2 linked regions of the Cricetulus griseus genome follow. The protein of the gene in region 1 interacts with the protein of each later gene in a pairwise test. Links are inferred from orthologs where the notes say so. Each region holds a gene or a part of one and is shown in the gene's direction. Other genes may lie near its edges.

The links. The genes of interacting proteins can lie anywhere in the genome.
Region 2: the proteins of Rbm41 (region 1) and Ralyl interact in binary tests that used the Homo sapiens proteins (3 or more experiments, as listed by UniProt). The two-hybrid records come from large-scale screens. The link is inferred for Cricetulus griseus from reciprocal best matches to the Homo sapiens genes RBM41 and RALYL.

Annotation. Positions count from the first base shown.
Region 1 is NC_048604.1:40,384,915-40,391,094, forward strand, and holds part of Rbm41 (RNA-binding protein 41), read left to right. Parts: intron 1-3,413; coding exon 3,414-3,561; intron 3,562-5,387; coding exon of another isoform or gene 5,388-5,398; exon of another isoform or gene 5,399-5,716; intron 5,717-6,180. UniProt on the Homo sapiens protein: May bind RNA.
Region 2 is NC_048595.1:134,728,832-134,735,011, reverse strand, and holds part of Ralyl (RNA-binding Raly-like protein), read left to right. Parts: intron 1-2,855; coding exon 2,856-3,019; intron 3,020-6,180.

The DNA of each region.
Region 1 (6,180 bases):
TTTGATTCCCAGCATCCACATGAAGAACAGTCTGCAACTCCAGTTCCAGGGGATCTGATGCCCTCTTCTGGTTCCTTAGGCACTGCATGCACATGGCACACGTACTTGCAGACACAACACTGACACATTAAATACTATTTTTAAATACTGAAAAATAAAAATGTATTCATCAGAAGGAACAGTCACTGTGGATCTTTTCTAATTGCTGAGAAGCTTGGGGTCCATTCTCACACACTTCCTTCTCCCCTTTAGAACCTGTTCGATTTATTTTTTATTGAAAATCATCTTTTTCATACAATATATTTTGATCCCAGTTTTCCCTCTATATCTTCCCAGATCTTCCCCACCCATCCAACTCTATGGCTTCTTTCTCTCCTTCCAGGAAACAAACAGGTAAATAAGCAAACCAGAGGAAAAGAAAAGGCACAAGAAATGCACACACAGACACATATACCACACACAAAAAAACCCCACAAAATCAGAAACCATAATATATAAGCAAAAGCCCAGCACAATTTTTTAAAAATGCCCAAACAAAGCAATAATGGGGCAAAAAATTTACAGTCATACCATTGAGGTTTGTTCTGTGTTGGCCATCTTCTGCTGTGTATTGGGCTTAATTTTTAGTCTCACATTGCTTTTTAAGGTTAAGAGTTAGAGCTAAAGATTCCACTACAAAGTAACTTTTAATAATGTTTAATGTATTTCTTCATATATTTCAGCAACTGTATCAGTCATTTCCTGGCTATTCTCTGTTCTAGTGTAAAGTCTTTCCTAATTTTTAAAGTGAAAACTATGTTAAATAACTTTTCCTTCTCCCATCCTTTTTGTATTGTTTAAAGAGTGCATTGGATCTGCCTTTCTATGAAAGATTTAAGGATCCAAACAGTGTTGTTGGCCTCAGCATAGTGTTGTATAGCAGGTTTGTAGGGTTTTCTCTTCTATGACTGAAGCAATTCCCCCATTTTCCCCTCCCAGTAACTTACCGCCATTATACTTTTAGCTTCAATAATTTGGACTACTTTAAATGCTTTGTCTAAGTAAAATAATAGAATATTTGTCCTCAGTCACTGAGCATGTGCTCATAAAAGTTTGTGTGTCATAGCATATGATAGTGTTAATGGAAAACAAAAAACATAACTTTTACCTCAAAAAGGATAAAAGATAGTTTATTTTTGAGCCAGATATCAGTAACTATGACCTGGTAATACAAGTTCAGGTTACCCCACAATCCATGCTGCAAGATGGTAACAGTTTAATGACTTTTCATAGTAACAGAAGAACAAAGAAAATCATAAATCAAGGTGTTTTCAAGTATATTGGTGGAAACATCAGGTAGGTGGGTTACAGCAAGTTGGAGAAACCACTGCTACAGACCTCATATGCTTTCTGATGACATTCTTAGCATTTTGGTGGGTGGAAGCTAGTGGTCTGTTCATACATTTCACAAGATTTCACTTGTTAATCACAAGTGTGTTGGGTCAGACACAGATGTGGGCAAGGAATGAATATTAGGGGTGGCTAAAGATAGGCCCTGGGCCTGCATCATCCCAACCTCTCCACAGTCATTGGAGTTTTCAGCCTTTTACAGGGTTCAGTATTAGATATGGTTTCTTTGCAGAAAAATCTCATTCATAATAGGATTTTTCTCTTTAATGATTAAATAGTATTCTGGTCTATGTATATGCTACCCTCTCTTTATCCACTTGGTCAGTGGATATTTCCTTTTTTTCTCATTTTCCTCTGTATGTGTTTATTTTCTTTGTGATTACCGTGGCTAGAACAACGTTTTAAGCTCATAATATGTAAGTTAAATAACATATAAGATGGTATTTTGTTCTATTAAAATTTCAATAGCATCCTATTACTAATTGATAGAATATTTTCCTGAGGGTATTAGTCACAGGTTGGTTTTTGTTGTTGATTTTTAATTCTGTTTTCTTCATTGTTTCTGTTTTCTCTCATTTGCTTTTCTGCCCATTCTCTGTCCTTTACATTAGAAGCCTTTCTCATATGCCTGATAATCCCTGTCCTTATTTCTGAGTGTAAAGTTGTTTACAAGTTCTGAGATCATGGCCTTGTGTACTTTGAATTCAAGGTGATATTTTATAATCCCAGCACTTAGAAGGCTGAAGCGGGAAGATTGTGAGTTCTAGGCCAGCCTGGGTTATATAGTCAGTCTCTGTCTCCAGATGACAGAAACAAAACAGTAATAACAATGAACCAGATGATCTGGCTGGATCATCTGTTGGAGAACTCCCCTATTCCAAGTCAGTGTTTTGATCTTTCTTGGGGATTAGTTCCCCTGCAGGAGACTGTTCCCTGTGCTTTCTTGTAAAGGAGCTACCAGTATTAGTAGAGGAATGGTAGTCAGATCATGGGTGTTCCCAGTATTTGGTAGGCATTCTTTCAGTCTCCTTGCTTTCAAAATGCACTACTCTTGACCTCAACTATATGAGACATTCCAAATTTACTGACAATCAACCTTCAATATTCTGCCAGGATTGGTGAGTTGCCCTCACCTAGTACTAAAGTTGCAGAGAGGGTAAAGATCTAATTTCAGTTTACAACAGCTTTCAACTTACCATCCTCATTCAACCCTATCTAATCACATCTATTTCCAGAGCCACCTGAAGCTATCAATTCTTGAACGTTTTGTGCATGCATTAATTTTTTTCTTTTTTGTATATTTATTTGATTTTTAGACAGGATGTCACTATGTTGTCCAGAGTGGACTCTTGTCCCAACTCAGCCTTCCTTGCTGGTAGAACTATAGGTTTTCATCACTGTGCCAACTTTGAAAGCTTTTATATTTGTCATATATATGTGAGGGTGTGTGTGTGTGTGTGTGTGTGTGTGTGTGTGTGTGTGTGTGTGTGTGTGTGTATGCGCATACATAGAGGCCAGAGTTCAGTGTCACATGTCTTCCTCTGTTGCTCTCTACCTTACTTTTTAAAATAGGGGCTCACTGAGTTTAGAAATCGCTAACTAGCTAGACTGGCTGGTAAGCAAGCGCTGGGATCCACCCAGCCTTTTACAAGGATGTCAAATCAGGTTTGTACAGCACTTGTATCCACTGAGCCACCTCCCTAGCCCACATCTGACTTTTGAAGACTTTTAAAGAAGATTCACTGTGTGCTTGGATTTTCTGCCCAAAGCATTTGCTAGTGAGCCTTATTTGGTGTGCTTAGTTCCTACTCGCTATTTATTTTGTATCTTCCAGAACATTGTTGCTATTCCCTTCTTTCTGAGTTCTTTCTGACATTGTTGGTTTCAGGACTTGTTGTTTTAGAGTTTACTAGAGAGAATAACATCAGATGAATCTTCAGTCTCCCATCTGAAAGTAATTCAAGCCATAATGAAAGAGTTGCTTTCTTTCTGTGATATTTTTGTCACTTTTCAATTTGTATTAGGTGCTATACTTGAAGAACCTTAGTCCTCGGGTGAAAGAAAGAGACCTTATCTCATTATTCGCTCGGTTCCAGGAGAAAAAAGGACCACCCATTCAGTTTCAAATCATGAGTGGACGCATGAGGGGACAGGCTTTCATCACCTTTCCCAGTAAGTAACTTCATCTAGATAATCACTCCATTGCAGTATCAGTTCATATGAGACTACCTATTACCTCGCTGAGTTAGATACAGCCTTAGCACATGAAAGGGGCTGATAAGGAAAATACATTTCCTGCATTCCCAGATCTTCCTTCCAGTACTTACTTTCTCCTCTCTATGGATGCTGCATAACCACCTTACCCCGCTGTCCTCCGTCTCCCAATTTTTGGCAATTCCTTTCTACCCTACCAATATTTATTTTCTTTTTATTGACAATACTATTTCTGCTCTATATTATAATAGAATTATTCATAGTTAATATATTGGAATTGTTATCAGAAGACATATACTCAGAAGCCCTATTCCTTTAGGACTAAGTGATTTTAAGCTAATTAATTAATTCATTACCAATTCATAATTATTGAAAGATGATACATTCTTTCAAATATCACTTGCATATCAGTACATGGCTTGTGTTCTAATCTAACTGCAAGACTAATACAGTAATTTTGATTTCAATAGTAAGTTAGCCACTATGTCTTTTGTGGGAAGAAGATAGATAATATCTGTATCTTTTGTTACCTCTAAATTGTCATTTTAATGCTCTGCTAATTTTTGTGTGGGTAAGTGATTTACACATGAAAACTGCTGACCTTCTTTCCATTGCTTTCATATGACCTTGTACTATCTTTTCTATCTCACTGAAGGTTTGTAAATTCTTCGTACCATTGGTTTTCAGTCTTTTGAAGTGAACATTTCTGGACTTTCACAGAATATATATATATATATATATATATATATATAATATATATATATATATATATAACCTACTAATTGAAAGAAGCACCATGCAAAGGCTTTATATTATGTGTACATGTTTGTATACTGTTTGTGTATGTATGTTCATGTGTGTGTGTGAGTATGTGTGTGTGCACATGTATGGACGTGCATGTGGAGGCCAGAAGCTAACTCACTTGCTCTTCCACCTTAATTTTCTCACTGAACTGAGAGTTGATTGATATGGCCAGGCTGGCTGGTCAGTGAGCTACAAGGAACCACATCCCCAGCACTAGGGTTACCTGTACATGCTTCCATACCTGGAGTTTTATGTGGGTACCAGGGACTGAAATGCAAGTGTCCATGCTTGCCTGGGAAGCATTTTGCTATCAGAGCCATCTTCCCAGCCCCAGTTTTATACTTCTTAATTTGTGACCATTTTACTAATCCTAACAGCTATAATACTCACCTGAAACTTTGTGGTATATCTGAGACAAAATGATCTCAGTATTGCCTACTTATAATTCCACAGACTCTTGTCCAAAGTCTACCCCCTCCTTATTTCTTACACACAGTCTCTGAGACCCATATGTTGAATATTCCTGCTATACATTATATATTCTCATACACAAACTTTTTTGTCTGTCAGCAAGAGAAGTTCATTATCCTATATCGAGAGCAAGGACAATCCATAGTCTAAAAGGTTAAGATATCTTTTATTCAGATGAACACCAGCCAAATGCAAGCCAGAGAGAAGGGCCAGGGAGAAGGGGAAGGAGAAGAAGAAGAAGGAGCTCCCATGTGCTCGTGGTCCCTTAAGAGCCCATTCCATGTCATCCTGACCTCACCTTGACCATGCCTTGATAGGTGTGGTTAGGCACACCTGTAGCCAGCCCTTAGGAGGCGTGGTTACGGTGTCTCCCTATAATTCCCCTGTTAGTCTAAAGAGGATTAAAACTTAATAGTGTAAAATATCCAAAATTAACAATCAATCATAAAGGTGAAATACAAGAAGATACAATAATCTGCTATTGCATATCCTAACTATGTCTATTTCAGCTAAACCCTAAAGTCATCTGAAAGGGGTGTCCAACCTGAACACGGCGCCAGGTATATCGAGAGCGAGGACAAGCCATAGTCTGTAAGGTTAAGATATCTTTTTATTCAGATAAACACCAGCCAGAAGCAAGCCAGAGAGAAGGGCCACGGAAAAGGGGAAGGAGAAGAAGAAGATGGAGCTCCCATGTGCTTGTGGTCCCTTAAGAGCCCATTCCCTTTCATGCTGACCTCACCTTGACCATGCCTTGACAGGCGTGATCAGGCACACCTGTAGCCAGCCCTTAGGAGGCTACAATTCCCCTGTTAGTCTAAAAGAGGATTAAAACTTAATAGTGTAAAATATCCAAAATTAACAATCAATCATGAAGGTGAAATGCAAGAAGATACAATAATCTGCTATTGCATATCCTAACTATGTCTATTTCAGCTAAACCCTAAAGTCATCTGAAAGGGGTGTCCAACCTGAACACGGCGCCAGGTATATCGAGAGCGAGGACAAGCCATAGTCTGTAAGGTTAAGATATCTTTTTATTCAGATAAACACCAGCCAGAAGCAAGCCAGAGAGAAGGGACACGGAAAAGGGGAAGGAGAAGAAGATGGAGCTCCCATGTGCTTGTGGTCCCTTAAGAGCCCATTCCCTGTCATGCTGACCTCACCTTGACCATGCCTTGACAGGCGTGATCAGGCACACCTGTAGCCAGCCCTTAGGAGGCATGGTTATGGTGTCTCCCTACATTATCCTAATAAGAATTCCCACAACCACTTTCCCTCTAAAAGAAACAAAGTAGCTAA
Region 2 (6,180 bases), on another chromosome or scaffold:
GAGGGAAGGTTTTTGAGTATTCATTTCAAAATTAACCTTGGAAAAGGGAAGATATACTCTTGGTTTTGTAATATCCATTATCTATTTAAAAAGTATCGGAAGTTTTTTTCTGAGTAAACTCTATTAGGGGAACTAAGATACCCATTAGAAAAGAGTAGAGATATAATTGTAAGAACTAGTGAAATAATATGATGACAATAAAAACAATTTAAATACTTCAGCCAACCTTTGAAATGTTGCTTTCATTCCATTTTGCTTGACTGTAATTTTTTAGACAGCCTATAATTTCAAGTGAGTTGTCCTTACTCCCAAAGCTATTTATAAAGATAAACTAATTTTATTTACTGAAGAGTGAATTCTGATGAAAAAACTAAGCTGTCTTCTTGGTATCCCAGCTACTTCCTTCTTCATTTAGACACTCTAGCCATTCTCCCAAGCCTAGAAAATTAACCCTTTTCCACTTAGCATGCTACAGTTTGTGCATTAGAGCCATGCCCAGATTCCTTGCTTACATTTCTGATAACCCAAAGGTGCCCAATGATATTTAAGACAGCTTCCAATTCCATTAAATAGTATAAACATTAGAATTTTGTTCACATTTGAAGTACCCATACCTTCCTTTCATCTTGTTTTTATGTTACTTACGACATTAAAACAGTTAAGCTCTAATGCTTTCCACAGTCACATCAGAGTGGCACAAGGCACTAGTAAAGATCCCACCTGATTCTTTGATAGAGAAAGCCACTGGGCATTGAGAGATGAGGCCTGGGAAACCCAACACCAGACAAAGGTTCTGGAACACAGCCTGTAGAGTATGACAACATACTGACAAATGTTTCAGTGACCTAGAAAGTGGCTTTAAAGATTAAAGAGCATTGTGATTAGGTTAACAATGATGTGGTGGTTAATTTTCTCAGCATGTCCACCAGAGTTCTTATCTTTCTGGATTCCCAGACTCATTGCACTATGCAGATTTTCTTTACCCAGTAAACAGGTTTGTTTATTTAAGGAACATCCTCAGAGCACATGAAAAAACGAGGGGAACCTTTTACCTTAAATGGTAATTTCTCACGTGAAGACAGAGCCAAATGGCACATTTTCTTCCTCTTGATTTTCTTGGGTATTGTTCCTTGATGCACTGACTTAGGGAACTCTTTGAATTCATCTTATAAATAACTAATGTACACCTTGTTTTGTGATGGAAATGAGGGGCAGATTTTCTTGACCCTTCTGATTTTCAATTCTCTGTTGTTACGGATTGTATTCACCACCCTTTCTGCCTCATCCAGCTGTGGGCTTTGAAGGAAACCCAAGTGTGCTGACATCTACTGCTCTTTGCCAGTAGGTCCTCTGCCCTCTAGTACTTTGCCAGTTCATGCGGGATGGGGCCTCCCTTGACCTCTGCCACATTTGACATCTTTTCCCTTCTAGGCATGTAGGAGATAATCTTTGCATTAAAAGGTCCCTTTTAAACTTAAGCATTGTCCTTTTATCTTATTATGTAATCTTTATAAATATTTTTGAACAAATTATTGAAAACCAGTTTATATTTTACCATGTTCCCTATATTAGTTTCCCAAAAGAGATTATAACATTTTCAGACATATATGTACACAACATGCACTTCTATAAAATAACTTCTTCTAGAAATTTTTTTCACTATTTTCTTCCTGATCTAGTTTCTCTTCTCTGAATTGCATATTGCCTTATTTTCTGGATTTCATCTTCATTTAATTATTGACTGTTTTAAATCAATTGCAAACTAAAATTTATGTAATAGTGTCAAAATCAAATACCTAACAACCATCAACATAAATCAATAATGTCTTTTCTTGTGTTCTTGGAACTATAATTATATATCTTTTTTGTTAGAAAATTGTTTTAAAAAATAAATGCGTAAATATAACCCAGCATTTTGTCCCTAAGTTGTTATGCTTCTCAAATATGCTATCATATAAAAATTGCTGCATATGTGTTTGCTTAAGAAGTAATACGAATCATTCAAATCTCTGAATGACATATTTCCATATGTGTGTTAACATTATATACCTTTATTCTTTTGCTGTTCATTGGAAATGCATTGCTGTAATGAATATCAGCTTTTCTTTCAGTCATAGTAGGACATTTACTGATTTTCTTTTTGGTTAGAAAACGTTTCGCTAGCTCACTGAACAAATATCTCTTTCAATTTGCATACGTGGAAAACACTCAGAATAACCAAGTGTTCTAATTATCAGTTCCCTATAGTGTTTTGTTCAACATGTTTGTAGCCTTGTGCTAGCTCTGTTTCCTTTAAACTCGGCCTCAGTTAGAGGGGCCCCTGATTACCTTAAGTACCCTGAGAGGTTGGGTACCATTTAATATGGTTCCTACACTTTCTTCTTAAGTTTGTTTTATTTCTACTTTTTCCCTTTACACTGAGGATTCTTTTTTTTTTGGTTTCTTAGTTTATGATATGTGTAATCATTCCACTCTCAAGTAAATTTAAGTGCCCAATATATGTATAAGTTCCCAAAGTGTCTGTTCAACATTAAGGTAAATTTGTTTGCTCAAACAAAGAAATATAGCAGAGTACAAAGGTTGACCTGATTTTGGCAAATTTCATTCTGCCTTCAGAGCAAAGCTCCTTTGCTTTATTATAACAGTTTAGAGTCAGGTCAAAGTCTAACTTGCAGAAAGAACATCCCATTGCCTTCTGAAAAAAATTGAACTAATTAATAAGTATCTTGTCTGTATAATAAACAAGGATAGAAGTATACTTGCCAAAAATTTTATAGTTATTCTATGAATACTTCCATGTGTTTCATAGAATGTTTAGGCATTTTACCAACTCTCAACCATTCATGTTTGTGAAGGCTGTTTGATTACCATGGACGTGTGCCTCCGCCTCCTCGAGCTGTCATTCCACTGAAGCGTCCCAGAGTGGCTGTCACCACCACACGCAGGGGGAAAGGCGTGTTTTCCATGAAAGGGGGATCCAGATCTACTGTTGGTGGGTCATCTTCATCAGGCTCTAAATGTAAGTACCTGCTTTATTTCCCTTTAAACTCAGCCTCAGTTAGAGGGGCCCCTGATTACCTTAAGTACCCTGAGAGGTTGGGTACCATTTAATATGGTTCCTACACTTTCTTCTTAAGTTTGTTTTATTTCTACTTTTTCCCTTTACACTGAGGATTCTTTTTTTAAAAAGTAGGAATAACTATTATTGATAAATGCCTACAGCATTCACTACCATTCAGCTACCTGGTAATTATCTATAGTTAAATTCCTCAATAGTGCACTACAGTAGACAGACAATAAAAAAGATAACCTAGAACTGAATTTAATCCTGGTAAATTACACTGTATTCTCTGCTTTATTGGTGTGTGATAGAATGAAGCCTGGAAATAGGACATGTTGCTTTTAATGGAGGAACACTGTCACTTTAAAAAAGTTACATAGCCTTTCTTTTCAGAGAAACATGTAAATGGTCTATGCTTCAAATATTTTTGGAATAGGATAACCAAGATTCAAACTGGGAAAATGATATAATAGAACTTTTTAAGCATAACTTTGCAATTATCCTAGGTTACTAGGAGAGATATGCATCTGAATAAATAGTTCCTAAATAATTAAAAGTCCTTCCACTATTTCACCTAGTCTGTAAATAGTGGAGATGCCAGGTTTCTAGCTAAGTGTGTATATTAGAAAATTTTATATAGACTGATTGAGGAAAATCTCTACATTTGCATTAGGATATGATTGCTAAAGAAAATAATAAAATTTTCTGTCTTTTTCAAAATTATGTTTTAGTATAGAAAAAGTAGTAGATAAGGTGTTACACCATTAGCATATGACAAAGAAAGTCTTAGAGGAAACTGGGAGAGCTGTGGTTTATACAGTGGCCTGTGATTATCTGTTCCCAGGAATACTTGAGCAGAAACATGAAGGAAGTGAGGGCAAGAGCAGGTACTCTTAGCATATTCAGGCAGAGCAAGGAATGGTAGGCAGACATTGGAACCTCCACAGTGAAGGAACAAAGAAGCCATTGAAGCTGGAAAAGCAAGAGAGGGGAATGTGCCTCAAGACAGGCACCAGAGCATGCCTCAGGGCAGCTTGCTAGATTTTAGTTACTCAATATCACAACCCTTTAAGACATAGATAACAAATACCCCGGTTTTACTGATGAACAACTGTCTTTTCTTATGGAAATGTGAAAAAAGCAGATAAGCAAATAAAAAACAAAAATCATTCACCTCAGATCTGACACTGATGACAAACCAAAGGAGCAATTCTGTCCAAGTCTATTTTAGCGATTCAGTGATTTTATCAGGGCTGCAGGGGCATGGTGGCAAGGTTATTCACAGGCGTTCCGAGGACTCAGGAGCAGCCACACCACTGAAAAGCCCACATCAGCATGGCTGATGATTTAAGAAAGCAGCATACCTGGAGCTCCCTGCACGATTTGCGCCTCAGCTAAAGGACTCTCTCTTTCTCTCTCTCTCCTTTTCCCCTCTCTCCAGTAACTGATATAGCTTGTATAACCCTGGGTGGCAAAGAGGCAGGCATGAATCTTGTACACTATAGGAGCTTCCAGAGACTCGGGTGGTAGAGCTTAGTTTCTAAGTCTTAGGGGCCTCTCTCCAAGTGGAAATGAGTCAATGTAGAAAGAACAACTACAGGATATCAAACACAGGGCCGAAAACTCAAACTAGCGTCACTGCTAAAAGCCAGACCCCTTGATTCTCACACCAATATAGTAGGTACTTCGACATCATCAGAAATATTAAAATACACTATCAGATTACTCTATTTTTTATGTGAAAGTGACCTATGACATAGTTCAAGGACAAGCTACAAACGATTTCTAGAAACCTGAGTTTGGTTTGCAGAGTTCACTGAGATGTTGCTTGAGCTAATGCAATCACAATAGCAAACATAGATTTGATATTATGATGTCTATTCTGCAAATGGACAGTGTGAATTTCATCTTGAGTCAGAATGTGAGAAAACTGATGTCTGGTGAAACATGTAAACACTCTAGCATGTCTTTAAATTGACATTAAGAGTAAAAAATGTTATTGAATTTGGCTCTTGTGGAAACACAAAGATGAATTTGTGTCTAGGTTTGCACCATTTTTTATATTAATGTTTAAAAAAAGACAGAAACATCAAAAGCACTGTATACTTGTTGTCCAGGGCTCATTCATAAAGTGGTCTACAAGCAGAAATGCCACTGGCATCTCTATATGCAGGTCAGCACTGAGTCTCACACTCAACTCTACAGAGCATTTATAATCCCTCACCTCAAACCCTACGGCCGAGTAGCACAGTTTAAAGTGCATACTTATCACTTATTGAAATACTTGCTTCCAAATAGCCCCACCCCCGGAGATGTTGCCTCCTGATCTTAGACACACTGATTTAGGATAATACTTGGTAGTGTAAGCCATGGCCGTTATCTGAGAGGTACCATCATTATAAAATCAACTGTTTAGTTGTCATGTGTTACCAGGAGGGGCCTAAGGAAAACAGAGACATTTAAAGGTTGTTTTGAAGTTACTATCTCAATATTGAAATTATTCAGTAAATTTTGTTCTCCTTTTTTAATTTCTAACTGTATTAAGAGGATAAGAACTATAAAACTGCTTTCAACATCTTATTAAGAATTTCTCTCAGTTCTGAAACAATGATTCCCACCAGGTAGATTGTCTTCTCCTGTGTGCACAGAGACATGTTTCGTAGTAAATAGATGGTAGATTGGAACACACATCCTCTTTAGAGTTGCTTTCATGGTAGAAGGTTTATACGTCCAATCCTGAATATTCTAAAAATATGTAAAGTCTTCCACGGTGGGAGTGAATCTATGAAATGTTTATGATTTACTTATTTTTATTTTATGTGTATGGGTGTTTTTCCACACATGTGTTTGTGTACTATGTGCATGCCTTATTTTTGAATGTTTCTGAATACTGAAATGAAAATAATACCTAATTCCATCATTAGTATATAGGATAGCTGTTATCTCAAGTGTCTTACATATAAGTTCATTCATTATTCATTAGTATTGTGTGAATATTCTCGTCACTTCCATTCTACAGGTGTAGAAAGGCAGAAACATGGAGAAACATCCCTGAAATCACAGAGTTATCATTAACAATGGCAGGAGCCATATCCAAGACATGTGGTGCATGGCGTAAG